Linked DNA regions of Caenorhabditis elegans. The protein of the gene in region 2 interacts with the protein of the main gene of each other region in a pairwise test. Each region holds a gene or a part of one and is shown on either strand. Other genes may lie near its edges. The genes, in order: rpn-12, nhr-6, jun-1 and rpt-2.

Region 1 (6,051 bases), on a different chromosome or scaffold from region 2:
GATGATTTGAAAGAATATATGTCAATCGTAAGTATATTTTAGAAGAGAAAAGTAAGGGTTTTTAATATCAAAATTAAATTTTCAGATTGACTGGAAGAAACTGACACTTTCAACCACTCCATTCCTGGTTCACTCTTACCTCAAGACCAATCCAAGCATCATTATCTCCGACGTTGAATATCTTCAAAAAATGAACACACTACTTCAAAACACTGATCCACGAATTGTCACGAACTACATCCTCCTTCGTTGGGCTGGATCATGGAGCCAAGAAATTGGAAAGAAATATGAGGATTTGCAACAAGAGTTCGCGTTCCAAATGTACGGACGAAAGCAGAGACAGCCACGCTGGAAGGATTGTGTCAGCAGTGCTGGTGGAAAACTTAGCTATGCTTCTGGTTAGTAGATCTTTTAGGTGACACTATTTAACTTTTAACTAAATTTCAGGATCTATGTATGTTCGCAAGTACTTCGATGCCAATGCCAAGAACACAACACTCGACATGATCACAGATCTTCAAGAGGCTTTCCGAAACATGATGCATGCAAATGATTGGATGGACGCTGAAACTAAGAAGTATGCATTGGAGAAAGCTGATCAGATGCTTAAACAAATCGGATATCCAGACTTTATTCTGAACGACGAGAAACTTGATGATTGGTACAAGGGTCTTGAGGGAGCACCAGAGGACTCATTCAGTCAGCTTGTCGAGAAGAGCATCCAATGGCGTAACAACTTCTATTATCGCAGACTCCTGGAGCCAGTTAACAGATTCGAGTTCATCTCTAGTGCTGCTGTTGTCAACGCGTTCTACTCGCCAACAAGAAATGCTATTGCATTCCCAGCTGGAATCCTTCAACAGCCATTCTTTGATGCTCGTTTCCCGAAAGCTCTCAACTACGGAGGAATTGGTGCAGTTATTGGACACGAGATCACCCACGGATTCGATGATACCGGACGTCAATTCGACAATGTCGGAAATCTTCGTGATTGGTGGGATAACACCACCTCTTCCAAATTCAATGAGCGAACCCAATGCATTATCGAGCAGTACGCTGATGTGAAACTCCGTGGAACTGATCTCCGAATCAATGGAAAGTTGACCCAGGGAGAAAATATCGCAGATAATGGTGGAATCAAGCAAGCTTTCAAGGCCTACAAGTCATATCTGGAGAAACACGGAGGCCAAGAAGCTCGTCTTCCACAATTTGAAAGTCTCACCAATGAGCAGCTCTTCTTCGTTGGATATGCTCAAGTTTGGTGTGGAGCCAAGACGCCAGAGACCAAGACTTTATTGCTACTCACTGATCCTCACTCACCAGAAACTGCAAGGTATTACTGAAACACTAAATTCCGAGAATGCGTATTACATAACATATTTGACGCGCAAAATATCTCGTAGCGAAAACTACAGTAACTTTTTAGAGGGCTACTGTAGTGTCGATTTACGGGCTCGGAAATTTATTTATTTTTCGTTTAACAATCGAAACCACTACAGTAGTCATTTAAAGATTTACCTCGTGAGTTTATTTCCATAAGTAGACGATTTACTATTTACATGTAGTTTTCGCTACAAGATATTCAAAAATATGTTACGCAATACACATCATCGTTCATTCAACTTTTTTGGCAACAATTATTTATAATTTTTTCAGAGTGAACACGGTTCTAACAAATCAGCCAGAATTTGCCGAGGCTTTCAAATGTCCAGCTGGATCTCCGATGAATCCAACGAAACGCTGTGTTGTGTGGTAATCAGAAAATACGGGAAAGGAGTCAACCAAGTTGGCACGCTTTATCTATCTGTCTCTCAGAATCTACTAAATCTTTCGTCCTTTTTTTTTACTCATCTAGCTGTATATATTGTTGAAAACAATAGACACTCGAATTCACTGTATTTTGTCCCTCTATGTATTTTTTCTCGAATTTTTCCAACTTCTTTTTTTGGTATATCATATTGATAGATGTTCTTGTTCATTCCAGAAATCTTTGTGCAAATAAAATTTTCAGATGTAATTAAAACTTGCTAAAACAATGCATCGGAAAGTTCATTTTCTTACAGTACCGAGAAAAAGACGCGAATAAATTAAAATCAGTTTACAAATACAATGCTTGAGTTCTTGAAAGACACCGGTTAAACGATTTGTTCGAGTTGCTTGGCGTAGAAGAGGGTTTGAGTTGCGACTCGCACTGTATCCAAATTCACAGGCTTCTCCTGAGCCACCTCAATTTCGAAAACGTAACGCTCTCCATCCAAATGCCATTTTCTCTGTAAATAAATATATTTTTTAATACTTGTAGCTTTAAAAATCATTATTACCTCTTGTCCAAACTTTTTCATTTGTTCGTCATTGTCGAACAGAAGCATGACCGTGGCATCCTTCGCTGTCAGAACTTTGAAAGACTTCTCGATAGATGTTGCGATTTCGCGACGGATGGTGTCAAGCATAATACGAATGAAAATAGTGTAGAAGGGGCTTGGAATATTCTTCTCGGTGAGCACAACCTTGTTGTAGGCTCCTTCCATGAGACTCTGTTCAATACGAACTGGCGTAGAGATGTAAGCGTTTGATGTTTGCTCTTTCTGTGGAATTTGTTCGAGGAGCATGTGGAAGTCGGACAATCTGTTGGCAGCGAGCAGGAACATCAGATGGAGTCCAGTCATTAAATGCTTGTTTTCAGAATTTTCTGGCGCCATTGTATAGTAGGTATGCATCTGGAAAATTAAAAATAATTTACAGATCGTTAAAAATTACATAAATTTTCCAAATAATTATTTAAAGACTCACCTGATTGATGTAATCGTCGAACGTTTCGAAATCGTGCTTCAGAATTGCCAAGAGCACCGAAATCTCGTACAAATCTCTGAAAATTAATAATTTAAACTCATTACACCAAAGAAAAATCTTACTTTGAAGCCAATGCAGACTGTTTATCATTCAAATCGCTGGAGGCACTGAGAACCTTCTGAAAATTCAATTTATTTACAATTTGACAAACAATTAACTGACCGTCAACTCATTCAGAGCCTTCTCAACTGCGACAAGATCTTTTGGCTCCTTTGCCCACACAGCCAGAAGATTTTTATGGGCGGCAGACATTTTCTTAAATCCAATAATGTTTTAATTTGATAAAATCGAAGATAAAAGTTCACGATAAACACAAGTGAAGTTAAAAAATAAAAATAAAACATTCAAAAAAGAAATAAACGCATTCTCCGTAAATCGACACAATGACAATTCTGGCAGGTCTCGCCACGAAGAGTGTTCAAATCATGTGCGCCTTTAAGACGCCAAGCCATTTTCTCTTCTGTTTTTTACCACTTATTTTGTTCTTCAAAATGGTTTTTTTGTTTTGTTCTTTTATTAATAATCAAATGTTTGTTTATTTTATACATATATACTGCTTGTTTTGCATTAATATCAATCTGTTATCGATATTTATTTCTTTTTCTTTCAATACATGACTCTATTCGTAACATTTCACAATTTTTTGCAGGATGGTTTTGTCCGTTACATTCAGGACTCTCACACAAGTTAACTTCAATTTGGAATTGAATGAAGATCAGACGGTAAGATTAGAGTTAATGTTCGACTTGTATTTTATTTTTCTTTCAGATTGCGGAAGTAAAGGCTCTGGTCGCTTCGGAGAAAGGGGATGATTATGCTCCAGAACTTCAAAAATTAATCTACAACGGAAAGGTATTACAGTGAAGGCTCATAATATCTTTAAAGTATGTTTTTTTTTTAGATTCTCGACGATTCTGTGAAGGTCGGAGAAGTCGGATTCGATTCTTCGAAGTTCGTTGTTGTGATGCTCAGCAAAAGGAAAGTCACAGAAGTTGCACCTTCATCTACCGTTGCCACAGCTGCTGAGCCTGTTCCAGTAGCTGCCGCTCCTGCGTCAAACCCAGCCCCAGCTGCCGATGTTGCTCCTGAAGCTGCTGCTCCTGCTGAGGCGGAGGCGCTTACGGATGAGCAAGAAGAGAACGTTCTCGCAATCACTGGAATGGGCTATGACCGTGAACAAACTATCGCTGCTCTGCGCGCAGCATTCTGGAATCCAGACCGCGCAGTCGAGTTTCTTCTCAACGGACTTCCTGATGATGCTGCTGACCAAGAACCAGATTTGGGGCCCGAGCAAAACATCGATAACGTGGATGAGGATGGCAATGACGATCTTAACATGCTTGCAAACATGCCACAGCTTGCAGAAATTAGAGCTTTGATTCAACAAAATCCTGAAATGCTCGCCGCAGTCCTTCAGCAGTTGGCTGCTGTCAACCCAAGACTTGTTCAGACTATTCAGAACAACCAGCAAGCTTTCATGGATCTTTTGAATGGTGGAGCTCAAGGAGCCGGAGCCGCTGCAGGAAATGCGCCAGAAAGAAACACCCCACGTCGCCATGTTATCCATCTCAGTCCCGAAGAAGCTGCTGCTATTGAGAGAATCAAAGCCATAGTTGTTAATGCACCAGAAGCTGTGGTTGTGGAGGCTTATTTCGCATGTGACAAAAACGAGGAAGCCGCTATCAACTTTATTTTCAGCAACCTCGTGAGTTTATTTCCATACGTAGATAATTAGAAGTTTAATTTTTAATTATTTCAGGATGAGGAATAATTATCTTACCCATGCCAATAACTTCTGATCACCGTCACTGGAAATTGCAACAGAAATTAATTTATTCTCTCTCCCCCATTTCCGTAAAGCTTATATTCTTGCTCCTATCAGCCTAATTTTTTTATTAACACTTCTTCCAAGAATGTGTATTCATCGCCTTCTCGATTGCCCTTTGTCTATATATTTAAGATAATAACACATTCAGTTCCATGTGCTGATTGTCACCCGCTACTGGTAGGCACTTCGTTGAAATTCTCGTCGCGTTCAGCGAATTTTGTGTGACATAATTTCGGTATTGTAATTCCCTTTTGTCATCCAACATTTTCAAATGAAAGTCAAATGTTTTAATGATTCTTCGTTTCGATTTATCAAACTTTACCCAATGAGTCATCACGATTTCGTACTCCAATATCGGTCGTTCATTTCTTCTGAATATGCGCTAATTCACTTTACTTGAAGATGTCTGGAAAAATAAGCGAAGAAGCTATGCAGGAACAGGCCGAAAGGGCGGAATATGTGAAAAATATTGGGATTGAGTACAGATTTGGATGCTACGAAGTGAGAAATTTGAATTTTCAATCTTTCTTTGAAGTTAAATTTTCAGGAAAAAAGGCCAGAATCCTGTCAATTGCTCGGCGAATACATGGAAGCTCTGCAACAAAATTTTCAAGCGGCCGTAGCGATTTTCAAGAAGAACTGTGACGAGAACAGTTATCCAAAGTCATGTTTCAAGTACGGAATGTACATGTTAGCCGGAAAAGTTGGAGACGATGCAAGTCTGTCAAAAATGATTCGACCGATGAAAATCGCATGTGATGCGAATATTCCACAAGGATGTCGATATTTATCACTTGTTCATTGGAATGGAGAAAAAGATCGGAAAGCTGATTCAGAAAAGGCTGAACGATACATGAGAAGAGCCTGTGAACTGGAAGATGGTGAAGCTTGCTGGTTGTTGAGTACCTGGTATATGGGAAATAAGGAGAAATTTAAGACGAATGCTGCAGGAGAGGCTAAGGTTTTTTTTTGTTTTTCAAAATAATGCGAAAAAGGATCGCCGCGCACCCTGCATCTATTAAAAAATGTTTTGTGTTCCTTTAAGATTACTGTAGAAAACTTTATTTCTAGTTTTACACACTTTTAACATTGAAAACGTTATTATTCGAAAAAATGAACATCAAAATTAATTAAATATAACAACCTTTGTGAAATATTTACTAGAAAAAAAATTAGAAAACACGAAATTTATCAAAATCTGCACGTAAAAAACTACAGTAATCTTTTAAAGGCGCGTACATCAAAACGTTTTTAAATAAATGCAGAGAGCGCGCTGCGAGACCATTACTTATGAATTCCGAACCCATTAAATTCATTGTTATAACATATTTTTCACCGAATATTTTAAGCTAAACAGACGAGAAATTTTGCGA
Region 2 (10,135 bases):
TTGAGAAGCATCAACAAAAGGGATTATCCAAATTGTTGCACACACATAGCTTCATCGTCAAACCGACACGAACGACGCACTGAAAAGAGACTTTTTCCTGATTAGCTCATTAATCTTAAAGACGTCAAAAAGGATGGACCGGTGTGTGACCTGAAGAACATTATATAAGGAGACGAGAGTGTTGAGCTTTCAAGCCATTTAGCCTCCCCATGTTGCTCCACCGAGCATCGAACCAATTACCATATGGGCAGTATCCCCCCTCTGCATGTTTCTAGTGTGCTCCCGAATAACCGTTTAATTAAAACTTTTGTGGTGTACATAGTTTTGAATATGACTCAATGATCTGGACCCTTCCTCTTCCTGTCCATTTACCACACCCCTAAGGTAGTCACTAAACTCCCTCCAAAATGATTCATAAGGTTATCAGCTGTTGAAGCTTATCGGAACAAAAATTACTATCCCCGTTGACGCAGTATATATATATACTTGCGGTTTGAAAAATGATCGTTCATATTTCTTCTTATCGTAAACTTATTAGAAATGTTTATTTTATTGAAGTAACCGAACATTACTTTTTGTCGCTCTCCATAATCTTTTTCAAATCCTCTCAAAAACAATGTTATTAACCATGCAAAATCAATTTAGAACTCTGCGTCTCTCCTCCCGCATTTTTTGTAGATCTACGTAGATCAATCCAAAATGAGACACGTGTAATCCATGTACCGCGACCTTCAAATTTCTAGCAACCTGTATAACCAAACGTATGCGATATTAATAACACTGACGTCTTTTTTTGTGATGCAAAATAAAAATCATCATTCCTCCTATCACGTTCAAACTCGATATTTTTGTCCGAAAAACGAAAAAAGGTCAGTGAGTCTTTATCAGTAGTATTGTAATTGTTTCCGAATTCGGAAGATCATTTGATGTCATGAAACGTAGTTTTGAAACAGTCTCGATGAATGCATTCAGTTGAGGTGTGTTTTGTGCCAAATTCTAGGTATAAACTAAAGTTATAGATTTCTCAGCTAAAATTAAAGGCAGACTAGTAGTGTAATTCTTTAGATGTTTTAATCCCCTTACGAAAGCCCAAATAGGAGGGAATTTCACGAAAGTGCCGCACTTTCAGTGTGGCCAAGTTTTGACCTAGCATTCTGAAAATAATCTAACAAATAGTTTTTACTAGTCTATAGGGCCCTGCGGTAATTCATGGAACACTGATGTGCGTTCATTTAGCATGCTTCTTTTTGATTTTTAAATTCTAATTCGAGTTAGCAGCTAATTTACCACGTGATGTCAGGCTGTCTCATTACGGTTTGATCTACAAAAAATGCGGTGTTTTCTCTCAAAAAAAAAAGTGACACTCTAGAGATTCCCACAATTCTCGTAGATCAAACCAAGATTTACAAGTTGTTGACTACTTGCTGCACCCAGGAGGTCTATAACTATAACTCATCTCTTATCAATAGATCAAAACGTTCAACTCACCTTCCACAGTCCAGTTCAAACTACACAATGACATATGAATTGGGGGGGTCAACTGTTTCCTGTAGATTCCTACATACTTCAGTTTCATTGATAAGAAGCACTTCGTCACCGAGTGTGGGCGATGTTTACGTCAGAGTGCTGGACAGTATCAAAATTAGTCACTAGAGCTGGAACAATGACTTAGTTCTGAGCTATTACTCACTTATGAGACACATGCACCGTCGCCTTCGCCGTCTCTCGAACCTAGTGGCTTTGATCTCTGATAGAGCTTCACGCTTTGGAGTAAACTATCTACAGACTCCCGGTGCATTGTGTGTCTTTGATCGTGTTATCATTCGTCTCCGTACAAGCGTTTATCAGTGGTTTCTTGCTTTTTACAAGCACTTCATCACGTCACTTTATTTTATTTGTTTCGTAGGTAAAAGGGGTGGGGAAATGGGACGAAAACCGTTTTAAAGCGGAGGTTTTCAGATTTTGAGTCAGTTTTTCTTGACCTTCTTGGCGAAAAATTTCTAATTTTATAATACATTTGGGGGTTAGCGAGCCTGCTTCCAAAAAGTATGAGAGCAAAGGATAGGTCTACAAAATTGCCCCATCTAACTTTTTTCGTTTAAAATTAGTGTAAACTATAGAAAATGATGTACCTGATTATTCGAAAATAACAAATATTTTAGCTGAAACATATTAGAAAATTCTCAAAAATAACCTGGAAATTGCCATTCATCCATTATCGAATTGTCTAGCAATTGACAACTTCTAGGCTATTTTGAGCATTTATTCAAATGTTTTAGCTCAAATAAATGCTATTTTCAAATTAATCAAATAATCAAATCAAAATATTTTGGTCTCATTGCACCTGGTGCAATAGGACATTTTTTAGAATTAACGCCCCTCATTTCTCTCAAAAACCGATTCCTCGAAAAAAATTTCCTAACTCAAATTTTATCTACAGTCTTATGCAACAGTGCATTGCGAAAGATTTCCTAATGCTCCCACAAACCGCAAAATTTTTTCTCAACATGTACGTTTTTCTTGTAATTTACAGCTTCCTTCCTACTATTTAGCATATTTTTCCAAATATGTTTTCTGATACGCCTTGTTACTCACAGGAGCTAGAACTAGATAGACAAACCAATTAGAACATCCCCCCGGAGGTTTGTATGTTTTTCGGAAAATGATCCATTGTTCAGATCAGTTATGATGTGTCGTGAGATGGGCGGGAGGAAGTGATATCATAAGTTCCCTTTACGGTTTCTGGTATATAATAATGCTCATTTAGTCGTAGAAATTTATTGTTCCGACTGTTCCGGAAAGATAATTTTTCTGTAGATCATTTATGCAAAAAATATTTTTCACTTTTGCATTAGTTTTTGCGTAGCACCCAATTTACCGAACAACTCTCCTTATCATGAAAATGCCCTTGAAATGACTAAATAATTTCACCGGTGCACATACTTTCTATTTTTTCCTTTTTTTCCATTGTCTAGAGCAGCAGCTGACGCAATTTTCCGACCTTTTCACACTTCCCACTCTGCATGCATTTTTGGATTTAAATTGTCTACGTACAAAATATCTTGCACCTGTGATGAAGTCACAAACTAGCTCAGAGATTAATTAGCTCTAGACATAGATGCTAACTGATGGGTTTGCAAGTACCTATGCCTACCTGCGTGCCTTCAACTCCCCTAATGCAGATAACAGTAGCCGTAGGTCAGTTGTAGGCACGGCAGCAGGCATAGAAGTTAACTGTTACAGTAACCACTCACCTGTACATTGGGATCTCCTCATTGATTTTGAGAGCTGACCTACATAGTATATCGAAGCGATTCGATCGCTAAACTCTGAGCTCACAGAATTGGAAACAATGAAAAAAAGGCTGATTCTGCTTTTAGAGTGACCACTTCTAATTTTAGCCGGCCCGGTGGTGTCGTCAAAATTCCTTTCCTGAAATTACGTAGATAATCAAGGCGCGGGCAGGTGAATATTCCATTCAAGACGGGCAAGAACACATGTTGTTGACTTTTTTAGTGTTGCTGCTCGATCAGTTGTCACAGTGTCAAATCACCTGCACATGTGCATTTTTAGGTGCTTCTGATGACGCGCCACGAGCTGCTACTCCGCCTTCTCAATTGTTTGACACTATATAATTCCCGATCGTCTCTCTCTCTCTCCCACTCACCCAATCTGAAAATTCGTTAAAATTCTGAACATTTTCAGATTGACCACTACTAGAGCTCTTCTCTCACTTCTTCTTCATCTTTCTTCATTCAAATCTTACAACTCCTTATATCGACCGCTCATTAATCGGATGCGCGGTCTGTCCGACTGAATGGAACAACTTAGTATTCAAACGGACGAGTTGCAAGATCAGGTACCCTAACCTATTTCTTTTTTTTTTTGAGTAGGCGAACTGGCAGGTGTACCAGAAAAACTGTTAAAGTTCGGTGGAAAAGATATGTGGTAAATTCTATATGTGGTAAATTTTCAGTTTTCCAACTGCTCGCCAGCTTCTGTCGATAGTAGCTACTCATCCTGCTCCAGCGTGGAGGACGAAGTAAGTATTCTTATTCTCATCTTCTGGAAGCCTAAACAAGATTGGGCTTATGCTTAGGATTCGGCTTAGGATTAGGCTTGGGCTTAAGAATTATAGAAAAAAAAATACAAAAATTGCACAATCCCAAAAAAACAGAAAACTCAAAAATCATGTGCCCAGAAACAACGGAAAATGAGATATTACAAAATCTGGCAAAAACTTTAATTTAAATTTTATTTTTTAAGATCGAAATCTACACACGCCTCGTGCGTAACGAAGAACCTCTGCGAAGGGACTTCTTCCGCGAGATGTCGAAAAACTCTTCGTGCTCCTCATCATTCGACTACGGTAATTCACAAAATTTCCATTTCTTCCTAATTATTGGTTTCAGGAGAGTTTGGACCATCTTCCTCGTCTCGCAAAGGCTCCAAAACCACCGATGCCGACCTCGACAGCCTTTTCCATTCTCTTGTGGTGAGCTCTTTTTCCAAGAACTTTTTTAAGATTCCCATGAAACCTTTTTTTTCAAATCTGTGGGAGAAAATTGGTATAATCCTTTTCTGAGCTATAATTTTTTTGAACTTTTTTCCGGCGGTAAAAAAAGGTGTGAGTGGGAACATGTGAATAATATCACCCGACTCCTCGTTTCCCACTTCATTTCAAACTTGGCATCCCCTCTCAACACAGTCATTGTTTCCTGTCGAATCACCCTGCACTTTCCCAACACATTTCGTGCCCGCTTATTAGAAAGATAATTGGATAGGTGAGATCACTTGTAGAGAGAGCCACGAGTGGTGTTGGTTGGAGAGAAATATTTCTCGTTTCAAATTCATTCTACAACTTTTCCACCCAACTAGTAGTAGTCTTTCTCTTTCTTTTTTTTTGGGTGTTGGCGCAATGGTATTTGCCATTAGTCATAGAGACAGTAGCAGCAGGGGTGGGACCCCTAATGCTAACAAGTCACTTGTACCAAAATGTCATTCATTTATTAGTAGTGTTTCTTTTGATGTTGCTGCTTTCTTTTTTGGCTACTGTAAAAAGTAGACCATTTTAGAAAATTTGGCAAGTTGTTTAGAAGTTTTTGGAAGTCGACTATTTTTTTTCACTCAAAATCAATGTTTCAACCTCTAAAAAATTTGAATTCTAGAAACTTTTTAAAAAAATTCTAATTTTTCCCACTGCTCAAAATTTATGAGAGTCTAGAAATGTAAAAAAATGTATCAAAAATCCCAAAAAAAAAACTAGAGTAGCCCCCCACAAAAATGGCTCCGAGTTTCTGAATTTAGACCCAACTTTTCATTGAAAATTACTGTCAAAATCAGGAATATATGCATATTGATTTATCTGAAAATCAGATTTTGCCCACTTGAACCATTGGAAAAAATGCTCGAAAATGGCCTTTTCAACAAGTATGATTTTTGATATTTTTGACCCATTTTTAGCATTTCTCAATAAAATCGCCCTGCATTTTTAAGGCTTTAGAACGTTTTTGGAGCTCTCGAGATAATTTCTTTATTTCTAGTTTGCTTAGCCATGTAGGCGGTAATTTTTCGAGGACTACAACAAATATTTTCAGCCCACAGGCTCTGCGTCATTTTAGACCAGAGAAGAGTACAAAAAGTTTAGCTCTCATAGCTCTTTTCTTGTTTTCTGCTCCAAAAAAACTCTTAACTTCCTCACATAAACAGTCCGAAAACCCGAAAAATATTTAAATGCTGGCTTAACCTTCAGTTTTGCTCAAACACATACACCCACTATCATCCGGCTAATTGATAGATACACGTGCCATTTGGCTCCCCCTTCAGTCCTCTGTGTCCACACCAAAATTTGGCATGAAACACCCCGCAATTTGTCGTCTTTCTTCTTCCTTTCATCCATCTCGAAAACTCTTTACTTTCGATTTTGATTTGATGGTCTCTCTGGGAAACCTGTTTCTATTATATCCTCAAAGTGTCACCTCTCATTCTTTTTTGGCTTCTGTCAGCGACGTCGTCATCACTCTTAGGTGGTCTCGGGGCGTGGACTGACATAATTCCTCGTGTATGCTCTTTTGTCGCAGCTAATGCTCAGGGCTCTGGACTCCGCCCCTTGAAATTTTCCTGGGCAGCCGCCTAATCAGCTGTTTGATAGAAGCGCACTTTTCATATATTCATACTTACTTCCCCCCTGCACCCTACAGTTATGATGAGCAAACGGACAGCTAGCAAAATTGACAAGCCTGTGGTCAGGCTCGGAGATGATCTTAGCGGACTTATGGGCTTTATAAAGTCTGAAATTGAAAGTTTGCAGGAGACAAGCGATCAGGTGAACACTGTACCAAAGCCCACGAAAACCGAAGTCGAGAGTATCCCCGAAGAATTCGAGCAGGTAAGAGCTTCATTCTGCACACAATTATAAACTTTTAATAATTTCAGAAACCATCCTCCTCCAGTCACCGTTTACCATCCGAAATGAACGCCTCAATCACCCATATCAAAAGTGAACTTGACCCAACTATGCAAGCATTTCAAATGCCACACAACGATCTTTTCCTGGCAACCGCCGCACCGCATTACAATCCATTCGCGTAAGTGTCGTCACAGATAACCACGTGTGAATTACTTTTGCTTCGTGTTTTCTACGTAGTACATCGAGCCGAGGATTAACCTCCATTGAGAGCATAAGCTGGTGCTTCCACGAGAGGATTTCTATTGTTTCTTCTTACAGACTTTCGAATGATTTCATGCCGAATCCCTTGATGCCTTCATTCACATCTCCATTCTATCCTCAACACTTTCCGGTATCGGATTCCAGGCGTGGAAGTCAGGGGACAACGAGCTCGTCGAACAATACCGGCGGAACACCATCGCCTCATTCAAGCTCTCTGCCAACGTCACCCCCGCAGTTGCAAGGCTTCTTAAGGTTCGTTTTTGAAATTTGAAATTTGATATTTTAAATTTGAAATTAAAAAAAAAAGAAAACTTTCAGATCCTTCCTCAACCCCGACAACCTCTCCACACCAACCTCATTCGGTGTCCCATCGGAAACAGCTCTTGACGCTGACAAAATGTGCGCTGTGTGCAATGATCGAGCTGTTTGCCTGCACTATGGAGCCAGAACTTGCGAAGGATGCAAAGGATTCTTCAAGCGAACTGTGCAGAAGAACTCCAAATACACTTGCGCTGGTAACAAGACCTGCCCAATCGACAAGCGATACCGTAGTCGGTGCCAGTACTGTCGCTATCAAAAGTGTTTGGAAGTCGGCATGGTCAAAGAAAGTAGGTGTACCCTTTGGGAAATGTTCATTATTTGTGATATTTCAGTTGTTCGACATGGTTCTCTATCGGGGAGACGTGGACGTTTGTCGTCAAAGACGAAGTTGGCAAGATCAGAGGATCAACCATCTCCACCGCTTCCTCTTCTAGCTTTGATGGGAAAAGCAATTGAAGATCATACAAATATGACTGTTGTCCGGCAATTTGTAAGTCGGAAATTTAGCATTTCTTTTGGAAAATGTTTATCATTTAGATGCAACCATTCGATGAGACTATCGCACTGAGAATCCTGCACGGAGAGCTTCATGCCACCAAGAAGCTTCTCATGGCAATGCCACAAATTTCCGAGATTCAGCCAGCCGACTTCCAGATCCTCCTCAGCAGATCTTTCTTCGCAATCATGGCAATCCGCGTGGCAAACCGATGTGGCAACAGCACCGACACAATTATGTTCGAGTCTGGAGAGCTTTTCTCGTTGAACGCGTTCCCTGCCTGCTTCCAACAAATCATTCGATTCATGGTTGACAAAGCACGAACCTTCAGCTCATTGGTTGACTGGGAGCCTCAGGCATTCGCCGCCTTTATTGCTCTTCAATTTTTGGCTGGAAACACAGGTGTGTAGAATTTAAACCCTAAAAAGCTTCAGCAAAGTTTATCTACTCCTCATTTCATAATTTCAAAATTTTTTCAGAACATAACGTACTTGGATTGACCAACAAACCTCTCGTCGACCAGGTTCAAAGTACCATCATCAATGCTCTCAAGGATCATTGCAGCGGATCTCAGAACAAATTGGCCAAGATCGTTAGATTGGTAAGTTTGTCATTTTCAACGTGTGACGTAGAATCTAGCGGGGAAGCCTTGTAACACGCTTTGAGGGCAAAATTTGCACGCTTCTAATGCTAATCCATGTCTGCCAGGAAGCAAAATTTTTATTTTTTATTGAGGGTTGCACTGAGAGCAAGTATTCCAGACTGACATGCAAGTAGGATGTCTAGTATAACACTAACTATTCAATTTTCAGACCCAAGAATTCGATGTATTCCATGCTCTTGGACTCCAGGCCCTGGACATTCTCTATCCATCACACCAGCTTCCAGAAGAGTTCATGTTCCTTATCAATCTTACACGTGCTCCATTACGATCTACGGATGCACCGCCAGCTTGTGGAAGCCCAGTTGCCCCATCTGGAAGTTCACTTTTTAACTTCCAAATGGGCCCGGCTGCCTTTTAAAATTTTTTAAATGTTTAAAATTTTAAAAATTTAAAATTAATATATTTTTCAAAATCGCTAGCCCCATTGAATTGCATATCGCAAAGATTTCTAATTTATTTTGTTTCCCCACTACTGTCTCAAACAAAAAATCACTTCCAGAAAAATTTCAAATAACTTGTTACCGGTACTTTCCCAACAATTTTTGCTCCTTGAACCTCAAATCTCTCAGAATTTGTCCCCCCATTCGGTTTTTATTTTATGAAAAGCCTCTAGTTTTTGTGTGAATTCCAATCCCCGAATATCAATTTTGTTTTGTTTCAATTTTCAGAGTTTATTTATTTTAACTGATATTTCTTGAAATTATTGTATAGAAAAAGAAAACCATAAATTATATATTTTTACATTGTTTCATTTTATTACAAAGCACCGGAGAGAGAGGGACAAGAATACTGTGGGGAAGGGGTATACTGAAGTTTAGAGAGCAATTCCTGGAGAAAAAGGTCTGAAGCTTAACAAAAATTATTTCGCATTTGTCGTTTGTTACGTCTCATGTACTGGAACGCGGTTTTCAGATCGGTTTTCAGCTCGCAGCGGCTGAATCCACGGTCGTCAATGATGGGCTCCGGATGAGCAAAGTCTGGGCACTTCTTCCCTGAAATTTGAAGGTTTTTCGAAGTGAAGAAGGCATGTGTCCCCTCAAATAGAAGTGTGTGACGTCACACGTTTTAAGGGGCATTGACCTACTGTATCATAATTTACGCGCAAAGTTTCTGTTCTGGACTGTGCTGAACTTGGTTGAACCGCGGAACCCGCGAAACGTCCGTGCAAGAACAATCGGGACATTATTTCCTTTTAATATTAAAGTTTTCAAAATGTTAGGGTTCGCCTCAAACTGTTCTGTGTGACGTCACGGGTTGGCCAAAAGCGTCAACTTTGAACACAAGTTTCTAGTATAAATTTTAGTTCAAAGATAATTGGAAATTATTTTAAGGTGAAAAAGAAATGTGGTAAGAATACTAAATCACCTATTGAATTAATTATAGCTGCAGAAGATCACTGAAATTTTCACGACAGCTGATAATATTTGTTGAAATGCCAGGGAAAGGTTACCTAAAGTTTGTCGGCTTTTTACGCAAATGACAGGAAAATGAATGAAATTTTTGAAATCGCGGGGGTTTTTTGTTGCAGCCGACGTTTTACGGGCACTTTGAGAGGATTCCTAGAAAACATTTTGTTGCAAAATTGTATACTCTGAAATAATGTTACGGGAATAATCCCTTCATTACACTTTTTGTACCTTAAACCTATTCTATGTCTGATCTTTATAATAGCATTACAACGTCTGCACCTATACACTTAATCTACCACCCAATACAATTCTGATCTGTGACGTTTGCCCTCCCCAACTTTAATCTTCTCTTTTGAAAGCTTTTGTATCTGACAGAGCAGGTTGTTGGTTGAGCATTGGGAAGTGATAACCCGGAAATTTTACCTGTGAAAAATATTTTTTTGGGATCTTTAAGGATAAATGTTGCTGGAAAAAAATGGAAAGATGACCGGAAATGTTGTATAGTTTTTTAAAAATTAATGAAACTTTGAATAATTTTTTTACTATTTTAATTTAGTAAGGCACCTCCTAAAATC
Region 3 (7,331 bases), on a different chromosome or scaffold from region 2:
TTTAAAATTTCCATTCATTTCAATATTCAAAATTCTCACCATAAAATCCTTTACAGTACTGTGCTGTGCTTTCCTTCTCGCCATCATCTACTTCCATATCCTGTCGCCGATCTGAAAGTTAACTTTTAATACTTCAGAGATTGGAATTAGTCTTTTGGTATTCGTGTCATTTGAAAATGAAACTGTCACTCTTAAAATGAACCCTTACATGGTGAAGAGTTGGTATGTTGTGTCACATTCATATCAAACGAGTTATTCATCATCGATTCACAAAATAAATAGAGAAGAATGAGAATCGGAAAACGAAGAAGAAGAAAACGAAACGAAACGATGAGAGAATGAGATGGAGGTGGAGAACCATTTTTGGTGATAAGCGAGTATGACTCACTACTCAACAACCCGACATTTCAGGATGAACTGAAAGCACACTGAATTGCTTACAATTTCAAGACAAACGGGAAGAATTATATTGCTAATTCGTTATTTACCATATCACTGTAACTGTTAAATGTCGTGAACAGTCTCTGATGCTGTGCTTCTAGTAGGCATTCCACTCGGTCGAGGCGTGACCGAGGCGCCTTTCGTCCCTCGAACCCCTTACAGTCAACTTTGTGTTCCATTTACCTTAACTGTGGTTCTGGTGGTTATTTTAAAATTTCTAGTTATGTGAAAAAACTTGAAATCGATTCTATTTTTGGTAGGATAGAGAATTATAAATTTCCATTTCTTGGTGATTCTTGAAACAACTGATTGATTATTTTCTGATCAATTCCATATTAAAATACGGTTATGTTCTTTAGGTATATTTACAAAAACTATGATTTCTTTGATAATTATTTAAAATTCAGCCACTGCAAAATCATAGATCAAATCAAAAGACCCGGAAAATAATTGTTTTCCAAAATATCAGCACATTTAGGAAGTACAATTCCAACAAGAATATATCCTAAATTGGCGGGAATCGAGAAAAGCATAACAAAAAAATAGATTCAATATATATGAAGAAAAATGTTTCAGATAACTTCATAACACAAACATCAATTGATCATGAAACGCGTGTTAGATTTGATTAACAAAACATGTTAACGATGTTCTTGGAACTACGCTGATTAGCAGAAAAAGTTGGTGGGAAATGTTGTTTAAAGTTTTTGAATACGCGACACGAAAAAGGAAAGTGAAAAACTTTCATAATGCTCCATCCAAGCACGTTCTTTAATTTGTGTTTATGATGGTGGGAAAATAGAAAAAGTGAAAAAAAGAGAAGAAGAAAAAGATTCTCAGATGTTCTCTAACAGAAAATGTAGATGAAACTAGAGAACCAGAAAAGCTCAGAGATAAACATCAAAAAGAAAATATTAGAGCAGATCAGTCTTCCACGAGCAGAACGTCATGAATATGTTCTTTAAAGATTAGTGTCAGGTTTGATGGGAATTGGCTGAAACTAGGGCTTCATGCGCCTCATCGGAACTTGGCTTGCCTTCACGGCAACCCTTGCCTGCCTTGTGCCTAGAAATATTAATAACTCATGAGTTAACACAATTCGAGCGCCAAACATCGTTGAATCAAAAATATGAAGCCAGGAGGGGCGGGTAGGTTTGAGGCAGGCAGTGGATCCTGAGGATGCACCTCTCTAGATAGATCTACTATGGGTAACCTAGCTAAAACTGAGTTCAAAATGACTAACTACCTACAGGTTCCATTCTAAAATTGAAACAACTTCTGCAGAAAATGAGAACAAATACTAACAGAGATTCGCCTGAATATTTCATCAAACATATGACTGTTTCGCAAGAGTTGCCATAGCCTCTTTCATCTCATTACCCATGCATGTTATGGAACAGAAATCAGAGCCTAAAAACTGAAAGATGGGAAGGAAAAAAGGGGCAAAGTGTGTGTCAAAACATTTACGAAAGCCCGATGACTCATTCCAAGAAATGAATGGGAACGGATAGAACGAATGAACAAAATATGTCTGGATAAAATGGAAATTAAGAAACCAAAGTTCGAGAATAAACGCATCGAAAATTAGTTCAGCTCACGTAGCTAAAAAAAATTTCAAGACAAACTTTTAAACATCTTCTTTGCAAAAATCTTGATAACGAGAAATTCGACGTAAAATAGAGAAGCGAAGGGCCGGGATAAGCCATTTGTAAGATCATTTTAGATTTTTTATAGCATTCGATCGTTCAAAATCAATTTTAAAATAGCATTGTTTGAACTTTTGCTTGAATTTTCTGTACTTATAGTGTGTTTTGTATTTTCGTATTGTACTTTTGTCAATATGACTTCGAAGAACGTTTTCAAAATACCTAACTATAAATTTCGACAAAACCTTAAAAAACCCAAATAGTGTACTAAAATGATCTGATGAGCTAATAATGAAACTTCCGAAAGGAACAGCTGTTAGTCTTATCATTTGGCACAATCAGGTCGAACCAATGAAATATTGCTCTCAAACCAAGAGAGGGCGGAGAGACATATTGTGGTGATTTATTAGGTAGTTCTTGTGAAAAAATGTCGGGTTTGAAATATGTTAAATTTCTAGATGAAGGTTTTAGAGAAATGAGGTTTGTCGGATTTGTATACCATAATATATTTAAGCTTTTTTTGAAGGATTTGAATAATACAAATCTTCAAAGTAAAGCTAGGGGACAAGCTAGAGTAGGAGGTAGAGATTTTCCAAAAAAACATAGTTTTACCGTTAATTGCAATTTTAAATATTAATCAAGAATTTAGGTTTAATGAAAGTTCAAAAAATTTACCAAGTTTACAGAATATGGTCTAGGAATATATATATATATATAGTTTCAAGTTCCTAGATCCTAACCCTAATGCCTCTACACTTCCGCTAAACTAGGCATATGCGTTTATCAACAAAAAACAGTTCGAAGAAAAGAGACCATATAAGACGAAGAGACGCAGACAGTTGCCAGATGGAACGGGCGGGAAAAGCTGTGCGCCGCTTCGATCACTACAGTAGCTGCGTCGTTGGAATCGAAAATCACGTGTCAACTCGATTTTTTTTTCTCGATCACTGCGTCTCTCTCCGAATTAGAGTCTCGCTCGTAGTTTTTGTGATGATTAAAATGTAATGATGAACATTCATAAAAGTGGGCGGAGCCAGGATTATACCGTTTACTCTATTTTTAAGTGTTTTATGTCCAGTTGAAAGGAAATTGTTGCATAGAAAAACTTTCAATTTGGTAAGAAACAATATGATTTAATTTTACAAATCATTTAAGAAAAATACAAAACAATTTTAACAACCACCTGTTTTTTTTGGCACGCGTCATAAACTTTTTATGGGTTCAAAGAATTCATATTAAACATAGATCTACAAATTGATATAATGTTTTGACAAACAACTTCATCAATTAACGATAAAATCACGAGATCACAAATGTTTGGTAGTTGTAATTTGGCATTTTGATAGTAGTGAAACTATAGTTTTGTAACCATGATTGTCCATTTCCTATTGTGACAGGTTTATCATCAAGTATTCCAAAACTTTTGAACTAGACAAACAAACTAACCCTTTTTGGAATTTTTCCTTCTTCGAGTTGGAGCTTTTGGAGCTTTTAGAACAACTTCTGGAGATTCTGATGATGTTGATGAGGATGGTGGTTCCTCTTGATCCTCTTCCATTTTTGTTTTATTTTGATTTCAAAACCTTTTGACAAATAAGAATTGAATAGAGAGGAAGAGAAGTTGATGACGAATCGGTTGACGACGATGGCGATGGGGGTTAGTCGGCGGGGGCCCCGAGAATGAGTCACACGCACACTCACTCTTGTCTCTTTTCCTCTGCTGACTCGTTCTTTTCCTTTTTCTCTCTTTTTCTATCTCTATCTCTTTCTCTCTATTTTCCAGATCCATGACATCCATAGACGCAGATAGACAAACGAACATTGAAAGAAAACATTGAAAATTGAGAGAATCCAGAAGTTTCTCATTCTCTCTATTTTTCATTCTCTCTTTCCACCACCCAATTGACATTTAGAAAGGTAAATGGAGAGAGAAAGAGAGGAAATGGATAAAGTTCGCAGAAAAATGTTACCGTAAATAATGTGTCAGTGTGCTTGCTTCACGTTCTCCGTCTCTTTTCCCTCATTTCTCTCCGCTCCTTTGACTTCTGTATTTGCCTTTCCATCAGCCACTTATCTTTTTGGAAGTTCATTGGCTTTTTCAGAGCTCATCTTGTTTTTCATTCTTTTTAGGCCTGACCTCATTAGTCTTTTACCCATAGATCTTGTTTATGCACCCAATAATAACTAAAATATAATACGTTTTTTGCAGGGGTTTGAAGCTTTCTGATCCGGTTTTTCAAATTAATAAAAACCGAGAGTAATAAAAACTCATGTTTCAGTAAATCCAATTTTGGAAGTCGACCAGAAAACATTTTTTGGAAAATTTGGCAATTTACTAAAACTGTTAATGAACATTTTACTCTGGAGTGTTCGATTATGACATTCGAGAATTTTGTCTGCACATACTTCAACTAGACCAGAAATACTCTAGATCATTTTTACAAAATCTAAACATATTTTGATTTTCTTTTTGAAATTGTTTGAGGTTTTGTTTTTGGCACAATGCAAAAAAAAGGTTTTTTTTCAAAGTAATTTATACTATTTTTGCATGTTCGGTCCTAGATCTTTCATATTTGTAATACGTGATAACATATTATTAGTAATAGCCAGATTTTGACTACAGTTACAAACATTTTTTAATTTTTTGAACTGTTTTACCATGTTATTCAGCATACCAAACAACTCGTCTAGATATCAAAACAAGTTTTATTCAAGGTAACATACCGTGTACCATACCATTTGGAAAGTACGGTAGATATCAGTTCATTGCATTTGGGAATTTGTATCGCATTTGCAAAGTTAATTTTGATTGGTAGATTTTTTTCGGCACTTGCACTTAATTTTTTCATAGAAACACCGTAATTTGCATAAGAATAGTCATTCGGCCTAACACGATCGATGCTAATTATCTTTTATTATTACTAACTTCATGTTTTATTTGGCTTATTTGTGCTGATATCTAGAGGCTTTTGAATTGTACATTCGTGAACCAGGAATTGGCCAAGTTTTGCCAATTTCGGAACCAAGTTGGGTACGAAGTTTCGAACATAAATCTGAAAGTGTTTCATTGGTCTCCAATAGTCATGATTTGTGATTCACTTTCCAATTTACAATATCAACAGTAGTATCTACTCATAATTGATAACTTCGTATTTTCTCTAATCATACTTATGTCTCTCACGATTCCATACAATTTCGCGTTCGTTATGGTTGTCTGCTCATCTTTTTGTACACGGTCATCAAAATGAAATCGGAACGAAAAAGCAGTCACAAATTCGGAAATCATTGCAAAAAAATGGTGGGAGTAAGAATTGAGAGATTAGTGGAAATGGCATCACATCAGAATCAATTTGAATTCTCTCTTTTTTTGTGTTTCCTCTGCCCACCCATTCACATTTCAGGTGATTTCGAGAACAAATTACGTCGAAAGGGAAACGCCTGGCTGAAAATAAAAAATTCAGAAAAAAAGGAAGAAAATAGAAAGTGCACGCACCGGCATACGTAATAAGGAGCCCCTCATCTAAATAATATTTACGCTTCCAAGATTCTGTTTTTAGTTTAGTTTTTTTTAGAAGGAAGGAAACTTTTTTTCGTGTAATAGCAGGGACTTTCAAAAAGTAATAATTTATATCTAATGTCAATAGTATCAAGCAAAAGCTTTTAAAGCGAATAAAACTGGGACATAGAGATGGAACGTTGGGAAAGGAGATGGGAAGAACCGGTCAATTAATATATAAGTAATTATGCGAATTACCATCTATAAATATTAAGAGAAACAATAAAAATCTATAGATATGAATCTAGTAGGCAAGCTCTTCAGGTACATCATTTTGTGCAGCTTCTTCAGTTATTTCTAACGGCACACGACTTCTATTCGCTGGTAGATGGCCTGATTTCACAAAGTCTAGGCATTCTTGAGTGTACGTCACGGGATGAGATCGGAGATGTTGGCAGTGCAAAGAATCGAGAAGACGAAGTTTTGAGATTGAAACACCACGTTGCTCCATTAACTGGGCGTATTCTTCGATGGATTCTTCGGAGCAAACCTGGAAAAATTTGTTAAGCTAAAAATGTGTTAAATCTAGATTCTAGAATCTAGAATAAAACAATTAAAACACTGTAAAAACTAGCAAAAAATTTAGGAAGTGTAAACAAAAAGAAGCTTTTTAGCTTTTTTCAATTTTGGATTTCAGAATACCTATTTTTTTCTTTTATTTTGAAAATTCAACTCACTAAGTCTGCAGGTCCATAAATATAGAGCTGCTTCGCCGGTAGATTGTCAAATGTTATCATTTTGAAATACGCATAGTGTCTCTCGTAGATATCCTTCTCCAAGAATGATCTCAACCACAAAACTCCTCTATGAAATGAGAAGAATGTATAAAGAACTGCTCGATATGATCCTCTCAATGCTCCGTGGTAATGACTCGGTGGAAGTGTGGCAAACGAGATAGCCTGTGCACTTTGAGATGGACTAGTGAATGCTGGACAACTATCGAAGATAAGTCCTCTGGATTTTGAAAGAACTTCTTTTCCATTCTCGAGATCTTGTAATTGATCCCAGTATGCTGCGAGCAAAGAGCATCCATTCATAGAGAATACGTGGAAGTAGATTGTTGTGATGTCATTTTGGTCGTGGAGAATCTCATTCAGAATTCGATGAAAGCACAATGCAAACGGGCGATATGACGAAAAACTTCGGATTTTAGCGATTGGAGCAGTAAATCTTACTGTAGAAATTCTGTAAAATTAATTTGATGTTAGTTAAGGGTATTTTTTTTTCTTACCCTGCATCCTGATAATACTGTGCGTATTTCGACAAGTATCGGTCCCTACAACCGGCCCATCCGAACAGTACAACGAGAGTTTTCGAACCAGCAACAACATTTTTTATAGCAGCTTCATTACCCGATTTTTTCGATTCTTCTGAAACTAAAAATTTAACAACTATTTTTTGAATAAGAAAGGATTATATAAAAGACAATACCTTTATTAATAGTGATATCCTCTGCTTCTTTCTCAGTGACCTCAGCTGGAGCAACTAACGTCATTCTAAAAAAAACAAGAAGATAATTTCGAAACGCCAAAACTTTAAATTGTGTGAGAAGAATGATTCACATCTTGCTTGCACAACACAACGTTTGCTAACTATTTCAAAGGCTGGGTTGCAGAAAAGTGTACTATTGGAGAAAAACCATTCAAAAAATTAAAACTAACCCAAGATAGGTCAGAACAAAGGCCGAA
Region 4 (6,381 bases), on a different chromosome or scaffold from region 2:
CGAAATAAGCTCAACAGTCTCAAAAACTATTTGGAAACGCATGATTGTAAACTGAGTCGCGAAGAACGAACACATGAGATAAATCGATTGATAATCCCACCATCAACAGTTCCACCATCACAACCATATCTTCAACATTCGTTGAGAGTTCATCCACCACGTGCTGACTCTGTACCATATTCTATTCGATCAGGACATTCATCTTCATCGTCTGAACAACACTCACCAGTTGAGGACTATAAGCCTTCAATTGATCAATTACTTCTTCCTCCAATCTCATGTATTCAAAATATCAAAGATCGAAATATCAATTCTATGCCACCACCAGCTTTACCGGCAAGCACGAGTGCTGCTGGAATTCATGTTATCACTTCTATCCCGGTTTCGCATGCCAACTCATTACACGGTCGTTCGGAAAACGTTTTCGCAGAACCGGAACGCAAAGTGAGTACATTCATTTTAATTTATTGAATCTTTTACATTACATTTTACTTCAGATTCCAAAAATCGAGTTGGACCAAACACTGACATCATTGACCATGCCAGACGACGTTGAACGTCCGTCAGCTCTTCCGACGCTTTCCAGAATCGTTGAAAATCAGCCGATCACTACTCCCAGCAGGCCTTTCCGTCTCGGGGGGGAATATCAAAATCAAACACCGCAGAGTACAGGGAATGGACTATTCGGAGGCCCACCAGGTAGTTTATTTAATCGGATTGTAGCCAATGAATAAAAATTGTATTTTTTACAATATTGCAATTCTTAATCCTAAATCTGAGTCTCATCGCGAGCAAAACTTTTCAGCTACCGTACCCGAGCTCTTCTAGTTTCTACCAATATTTTCACGTGGTGTCAGTCTGTACCATCACGGGTTGATCTACAAAAAATTCGGGAATTTATTCCCTTAAAAAATGTGACGCCATCACGTTCTTAACCATGCGATACTTGAAGTATGCGTCTAAATTCCCGCGATTCTCGGAGATCAAACCGATATAGGACACTCTGACACCACGTGTATTTTGAGATATCAATATTGCAATAATCATACAAAAATTGGAATATTTTGAAAAAACTCAACGTTAAATATAAAAAATGTTAAAATTGGAACTACAATTGCGAGTACGGTAGCTGGAAAGTTGTTGGCGTGCCAAGACCCAGAAATTTGCATAATTTTAATTCAAATGCCGATATTTCTACAATATACGAAAATTTTCTTAAATTTTTCCAGTTTCATCCCGGGCTAAAAAGTGTTATTTTTATTTCTCAAAATATAATTAACGATTTTCATTCCAGGCCCATTCGACTTGCTTTCCTCCAACACTGGTCTGACACCTTCTGGTCAGCCAACAATGAACTTCGTTTCAACTCCAACCCCGATTCAACCACATCCGGATGCTGATCTCCGACCACTCTAGATTCCGATTCAAATCATTTTCTGTAGCGTGCATTTGTAATTTTCCCCGTCCAGCTCTCATTATTACAAAATTTCATACAATTTCCCGATTTTCTATCCAATTTCCATATCTTTAAATTCAGCCAGTTCTCTCTTTTCTCATTATAGTTTCACTTTTAGCTACTGAAATTCCCCCAACTTTCCGTTTCCAATTATTGTGATAAGAAATACATTCAACTGTAACATCATTTTCTTATTCTTCGAAACCATCAACTTCTTCACTGGTAAATCTTCAAGTCGATTTTCTCCATTTTTTTCTTCTTCAGTTTCATTAAATTCATGAACTTTCCTTACCAACCATCAATCCCAATGTCACATAAACGAATATTTTTCATCATGAATCATTTACCTCAATCAATCCAGATTTAAAATTACATTAAATCGGTTTTTGTGCAACGGGACGTTCAAAAAGGGAATAAAATAAATTGGGAAAGAGAAAATACAAAAAAAATAAATAAAACGGGGCACATTTACAAATAGAGTTCTTCTGGAGCTCCTTCCTTCTTACGGTAGAGCACATTTTCTTTGGACTTCTGGAAATCTTCCATCGTGACACGCATACGACGCTCGCGAAGAGCTAAGAGACCAGCTTCTGTGCACATAGCCTTGATATCAGCTCCACTCAACTCGTCCTTTGCTGTGATGAACTCTTCGAGGTTAACTTCTTTGCCGAGTGTCATTCGAGATGTATGGATCTGAAAATAAAAACTTCATATAATGTTTAGAAAAAATTGTTCCAACCTGGAAGATACGGCGCTTCGTTTTTTCATCTGGCAGGGGGAATTCAATCTTACGATCAATACGACCTGGACGAATGAGAGCAGGGTCGAGAGATTCGATGCGGTTAGTGGCCATCAAAACTTTAACATCTCCACGGGAATCGAATCCATCAAGTTGATTGAGAAGTTCAAGCATAGTCCGCTGAATTTCACGTTCTCCACCAGAGTTCGAATCGTAACGTTTTGTTCCAACAGCATCAATTTCATCAATGAACACAATTGATGGTGCATTCTCCTCAGCAACGCGGAAGAGCTCACGGACCATCTTTGGACCATCTCCGAGGTATTTCTGAATAAGTTCCGAACCAACAATACGAAGGAAAGTAGCTGACGTCTGATTAGCAACAGCCTTGGCAAGTAGCGTTTTTCCAGTACCAGGACAACCGTATAGAATAACTCCCTTTGGAGGCCGGATTCCCATCTCTTCGTAGTATTCAGGATGAGTCAGTGGAAGCTCAACTGCTTCTTTAATTTCTTGAATTTGCTGATCAAGACCACCAACATCGGCATACGTTTCTTGTGGTGCTTTTTCGAGCTTCATGACAGACACCATAGGATCTGTATCATCGGAGAGAACTCCGATGACGGCGTGATTCTTGTGGTTGAGAAGGACTGAACATCCCGGCTCGAGTTGTTCCTTGTCGACGAATGACATGATGTTGACGTAATGCTCACTTCCGACGTTCTAAATATTGAAATAAGAAAATATTATCGATATATTGATTCTTACAGTTGAAACAATGGCGTGCTGATCATCGATAATTTCCTCAAGTGATCCGACTGCCATTGGTGTTCCACGGAGCTCGTCCACCTTGGCGCGCTCTTCTTCTTGTCTCTCCTCTTGTGGCTTCAAACGCTCCTGGTTTTGAATGAATTCTTGCTCCATCAACAAATAATCCTTGATTCTTTCGCTCTTCAGCAACTTCAGACGGCATCTGGCATGTGGTGTGACTAAAACCGAATCATCAGTTAAAATACACACTAGATTGAAACTTACCAGCTGGAAGTTTGCTAGCGGCGTCAGGTCCCTTAGACCCCTTCTTCTTCTTTCCAATCCTAGATGGAATCGGTGCCTCATATTTCTTCTTTTCCTTCTTCTCTCCATCTCCGGCACCGCGGTCATTTCCTCTTCCACCGAAACCTGACTGTTGTTGCCCCATTCTAGAAAATAATGATTTTATATGAAAAATAATAAGTCCACGTTTGAAAAAGAAAACAATTGAAAGATATAAAATAAGTAGAACGAAGAATGATTTAAAAAAATACAGCGTTGATGATGACAATGCAAGCGCGCTCTGGTGAGAACTAAACAACGCGCGGTTTCGTATTTTCGGAGCTTCGTTGTTTTTATTGACGAAGCCACATGTCTGTTTTATTCAGAAAATCTAATTTTTCAATTGATTTTTAAGTATTTTCAGCGTTTTAAAGTTTGCAAACGATTGTTCATACTCTTGTTTTCAGTAAACATGATGCAATACATGCTTCTCTTCAGTCGCCAGGGCAAACTGCGGCTGCAGAAATGGTACACTGCTTACCCCGACAAGGTAAGTGTATTTCCTATTCATATGTGTAATTTCACACTCAATTTTCAGCAAAAGAAGAAAATTTGCCGCGAACTCATCACTCAAATTCTGGCGAGAAAACCGAAAATGTGTGCGTTCCTCGAATACAAGGATTTGAAAGTTGTCTACAAACGGTTCGTATTTTATATTCAAAAGTAACAACTCCCATTTCCTGTCATGCCTTAAAATTGTTCCTTCTGAAAATAACTTACAAGTTTATAATCAAAATTTCTTGAAAATTATAGTTACACACCTAAATCCGAAGTTATTACGTTTTTTATTCATGAAAAATATTTTGGCGTCAAATTTAGTTGTTTAATAGACATTTTTGTGATAAATGAAACAAAAACTTAACAATTCGTTCAATTTTTAATCTCAACAATTTCAGATACGCGTCTCTGTATTTCTGCTGCGCCATCGAACAAAACGACAACGAGCTCATCACTTTGGAAGTCATTCATCGTTACGTAGAACTCCTCGACAAATATTTTGGAAGTGTTTGTGAGCTGGATATCATCTTCAACTTCGAAAAAGCTTACTTCATACTCGACGAATTTTTACTGGCTGGTGAAATCCAGGAAACCAGTAAAAAACAAGTTTTGAAGGCGATTGCTGCCCAAGATCTCATTCAAGAAGAAGAAACTCCACAAGGATTCTTCGAGGATCACGGTTTGGGATAATGAAGATAATAGTAACATAATTTATTGACTTTGAAAGCTTCCGTAAATACCAAATACTTCCACCTTACTTTATTTATCCTGGCTATGTGTCTGGTTGTGATAATATTCATGTGAATAAGAGAAGAAAACATTCATTTTTCAATCTTCCATTATGTATTCTTTCTGTTAGGAAACTTCAATGCATGACTTGCATTATTTCTACACTTTTTTCAATTTTTTCTTTAAAGTTTTGAACTTTCTCAGGTTTCGAAGCGGATGATTATCACAACTCCGAGACGAGGTGAGCTAATGTGAATTTTGCCGAGTTTCCCGCACATGAGTGTAAAACACGAACAGGGGAAAGGTGGATTCAAGGATAATTCAACGGGGGGTAATATGCGAACGTTGGCAGTGTAACATGTCAGTTCGAACGGAATGAATGTAGGAATGATTGGCACCTCTGCCGGAATTGTCATTTGTTAGATTACAAAGCACAATGTTCACCTTCTTGTTGGTGTCGAATTTCAAAATATCATTTATCTGAAATTTCGATAAGTATGATTAAACTAGTCAAAATTGTTTCGATCACTTCCGTTTTCTCAAAGTTTAATCATTTTCGTACAGTAGATGTTTGTGTCCTCTTCATGTTTTCTGCCCAATACTTCTTCCTCTTCCCATCCACTATACTTTGCATTGTTTTTGGTTTTACATTGAACAAGGGCAGTGAAGGCGGAGACAGCGGGAAATGTTTCCGCGCGGATTCACTCATTCTCTCAAGTATCCATCAATTTGCTCCAGCACACACTTGTTCTTTCACCTAGTTTTTGAGTCGTAGTTAATTTTTGATCTAAAATCTTGGCAGAAAGCAGAAGTACGCATCACATTATTTGAATAAGTATTCGCATTTTCAATATTCGCAGTCCATGAGACCCTAGAAATCATAAACAAACCTCGCTATTTTTTTCAGTCTTGAAAATCAGCCAAAGAGTTGGTTCGAAATAACGCTTCCCAGTTGCTTTTAACTTTAGGAAAGAACGATTTCAAGTAATAACAATAAATGTATATAATTCAACGGAACTCCATTTTTCACTTGGTAGATTTAAATTAGCTTTACGTGGTGCATTAAAAATAATCACATGTTGAAAATCGATAATAGTTTTTCCTAATAGCAATGTACAAGTAATTGGTTTTTGTGGGTACGCAGAACTAAACCAGGTTTTGTTCTCGCAAGTTGCGACGAAAGTGTGAATGTTGGCACCCTGCCGTGTTCACTTCTTGTTTCCCGCCAAACGACTTGCAATTTGAGGTCGTACTCTTACTGGCAAACCTTTATTTTGCAATTGATGACAGAACCAAGCATATTTGCAATTACTATAATTCCAGTTCAAAATCGTAACCTTTTTTTTTTAGTTTTTTGGAAGTTTTCACACCTATCAATACTCTAAAAACAGATTAGACACTTAATTTTGCTACACAGCTGCCCAGATGGTGCAACCAGTAAAAGGTGCGAACAGACTGAAACAGTCTTCCTATTGCATATACTTCCCGGAAACGTGACGGTGCCCTCATTTCCTAGTCAGAATACGTCTATTAACCAACGTCAATTATTTATCGTCATATGTGTTCTTCTGCAACGTTATTGTGCACACAATATTGCGCTGAATAAAATAGACGTAATCCTCTCTCTATGTATCTATAAGATCAGATTAGTTGTGTGGGAACCTTTATCGAGATACCATCTCTTTTTCTTTCAGTTTTTACACTGTCTTTTTTTGTCTGTTGTTCCTCATGAAAGTATCGTCTAATCCACCTTTTCCTCTTTCATTCGGGGCATTAACTTCGACACCTAAATCGAACGAGACTATCCATTTTCATTTACTCAAAGTCAATCCCAATTCTACACAAATGCCTCCCACTTTTGTGGTAA

What was found.
Region 1: the proteins of nhr-6 (region 2) and rpn-12 interact in a two-hybrid assay, tested with the Caenorhabditis elegans proteins (2 studies listed by BioGRID).
Region 3: the proteins of nhr-6 (region 2) and jun-1 interact in a two-hybrid assay, tested with the Caenorhabditis elegans proteins (one study listed by BioGRID).
Region 4: the proteins of nhr-6 (region 2) and rpt-2 interact in a two-hybrid assay, tested with the Caenorhabditis elegans proteins (2 studies listed by BioGRID).

What each region holds. Positions count from the first base shown.
Region 1 is NC_003280.10:11,650,178-11,656,228, reverse strand, and holds rpn-12 (26S proteasome non-ATPase regulatory subunit 8), read right to left. Parts: upstream 3,106-6,051; 5' UTR 3,103-3,105; coding exon 3,013-3,102; intron 2,969-3,012; coding exon 2,913-2,968; intron 2,867-2,912; coding exon 2,791-2,866; intron 2,718-2,790; coding exon 2,322-2,717; intron 2,271-2,321; coding exon 2,136-2,270; 3' UTR 2,037-2,135; downstream 1-2,036. Other genes in the region: nep-1 (Neprilysin-1), read left to right, coding at 1-27, 86-398, 448-1,333, 1,657-1,756; rad-23 (UV excision repair protein RAD23), read left to right, coding at 3,501-3,572, 3,619-3,702, 3,752-4,555, 4,610-4,621; coa-7 (Cytochrome c oxidase assembly factor 7 homolog), read left to right, coding at 5,081-5,179, 5,226-5,639. UniProt on the Caenorhabditis elegans protein: Acts as a regulatory subunit of the 26S proteasome which is involved in the ATP-dependent degradation of ubiquitinated proteins.
Region 2 is NC_003281.10:3,569,882-3,580,016, forward strand, and holds nhr-6 (Nuclear hormone receptor family member nhr-6), read left to right. Parts: upstream 1-3,699; 5' UTR 3,700-3,817; coding exon 3,818-3,859; intron 3,860-3,969; exon of another isoform or gene 3,970-3,976; coding exon 3,977-4,042; intron 4,043-4,266; coding exon 4,267-4,369; intron 4,370-4,412; coding exon 4,413-4,495; intron 4,496-6,310; coding exon 6,311-6,388; intron 6,389-6,435; coding exon 6,436-6,587; intron 6,588-6,727; coding exon 6,728-6,922; intron 6,923-6,988; coding exon 6,989-7,278; intron 7,279-7,323; coding exon 7,324-7,481; intron 7,482-7,528; coding exon 7,529-7,889; intron 7,890-7,966; coding exon 7,967-8,088; intron 8,089-8,299; coding exon 8,300-8,509; 3' UTR 8,510-8,890; downstream 8,891-10,135. Other genes in the region: C48D5.3 (TIL domain-containing protein), read right to left, coding at 9,001-9,143. UniProt on the Caenorhabditis elegans protein: Transcriptional activator that induces gene expression by binding to the NGFI-B response element (NBRE) 5'-AAAGGTCA-3'. Required for proper morphogenesis of the spermatheca and the spermatheca-uterine valve formation.
Region 3 is NC_003280.10:9,109,605-9,116,935, reverse strand, and holds the start of jun-1 (Transcription factor jun-1), read right to left. Parts: upstream 3,780-7,331; 5' UTR 3,646-3,779; coding exon 3,534-3,645; intron 320-3,533; exon of another isoform or gene 261-319; coding exon of another isoform or gene 209-260; intron 112-208; coding exon 40-111; intron 1-39. Other genes in the region: T24H10.4 (Transmembrane protein 53), read right to left, coding at 5,888-6,133, 6,321-6,828, 6,875-7,013, 7,075-7,139, 7,305-7,331. UniProt on the Caenorhabditis elegans protein: Transcription factor that recognizes and binds to the AP-1 non-canonical enhancer heptamer motif 5'-TTAGTCA-3'. Required for ovulation. Controls plc-1 expression in the spermatheca to regulate spermathecal valve dilation.
Region 4 is NC_003283.11:6,014,276-6,020,656, forward strand, and holds rpt-2 (putative 26S proteasome regulatory subunit 4), read right to left. Parts: upstream 3,395-6,381; 5' UTR 3,394-3,394; coding exon 3,231-3,393; intron 3,185-3,230; coding exon 2,964-3,184; intron 2,919-2,963; coding exon 2,196-2,918; intron 2,150-2,195; coding exon 1,925-2,149; 3' UTR 1,774-1,924; downstream 1-1,773. Other genes in the region: Transcription factor fos-1, read left to right, coding at 1-444, 498-699, 1,295-1,416; aps-1 (AP complex subunit sigma), read left to right, coding at 3,700-3,777, 3,826-3,929, 4,184-4,475; picc-1 (PAC-1 interacting and coiled-coil domain-containing protein 1), read left to right, coding at 4,731-4,755. UniProt on the Caenorhabditis elegans protein: The 26S proteasome is involved in the ATP-dependent degradation of ubiquitinated proteins. The regulatory (or ATPase) complex confers ATP dependency and substrate specificity to the 26S complex.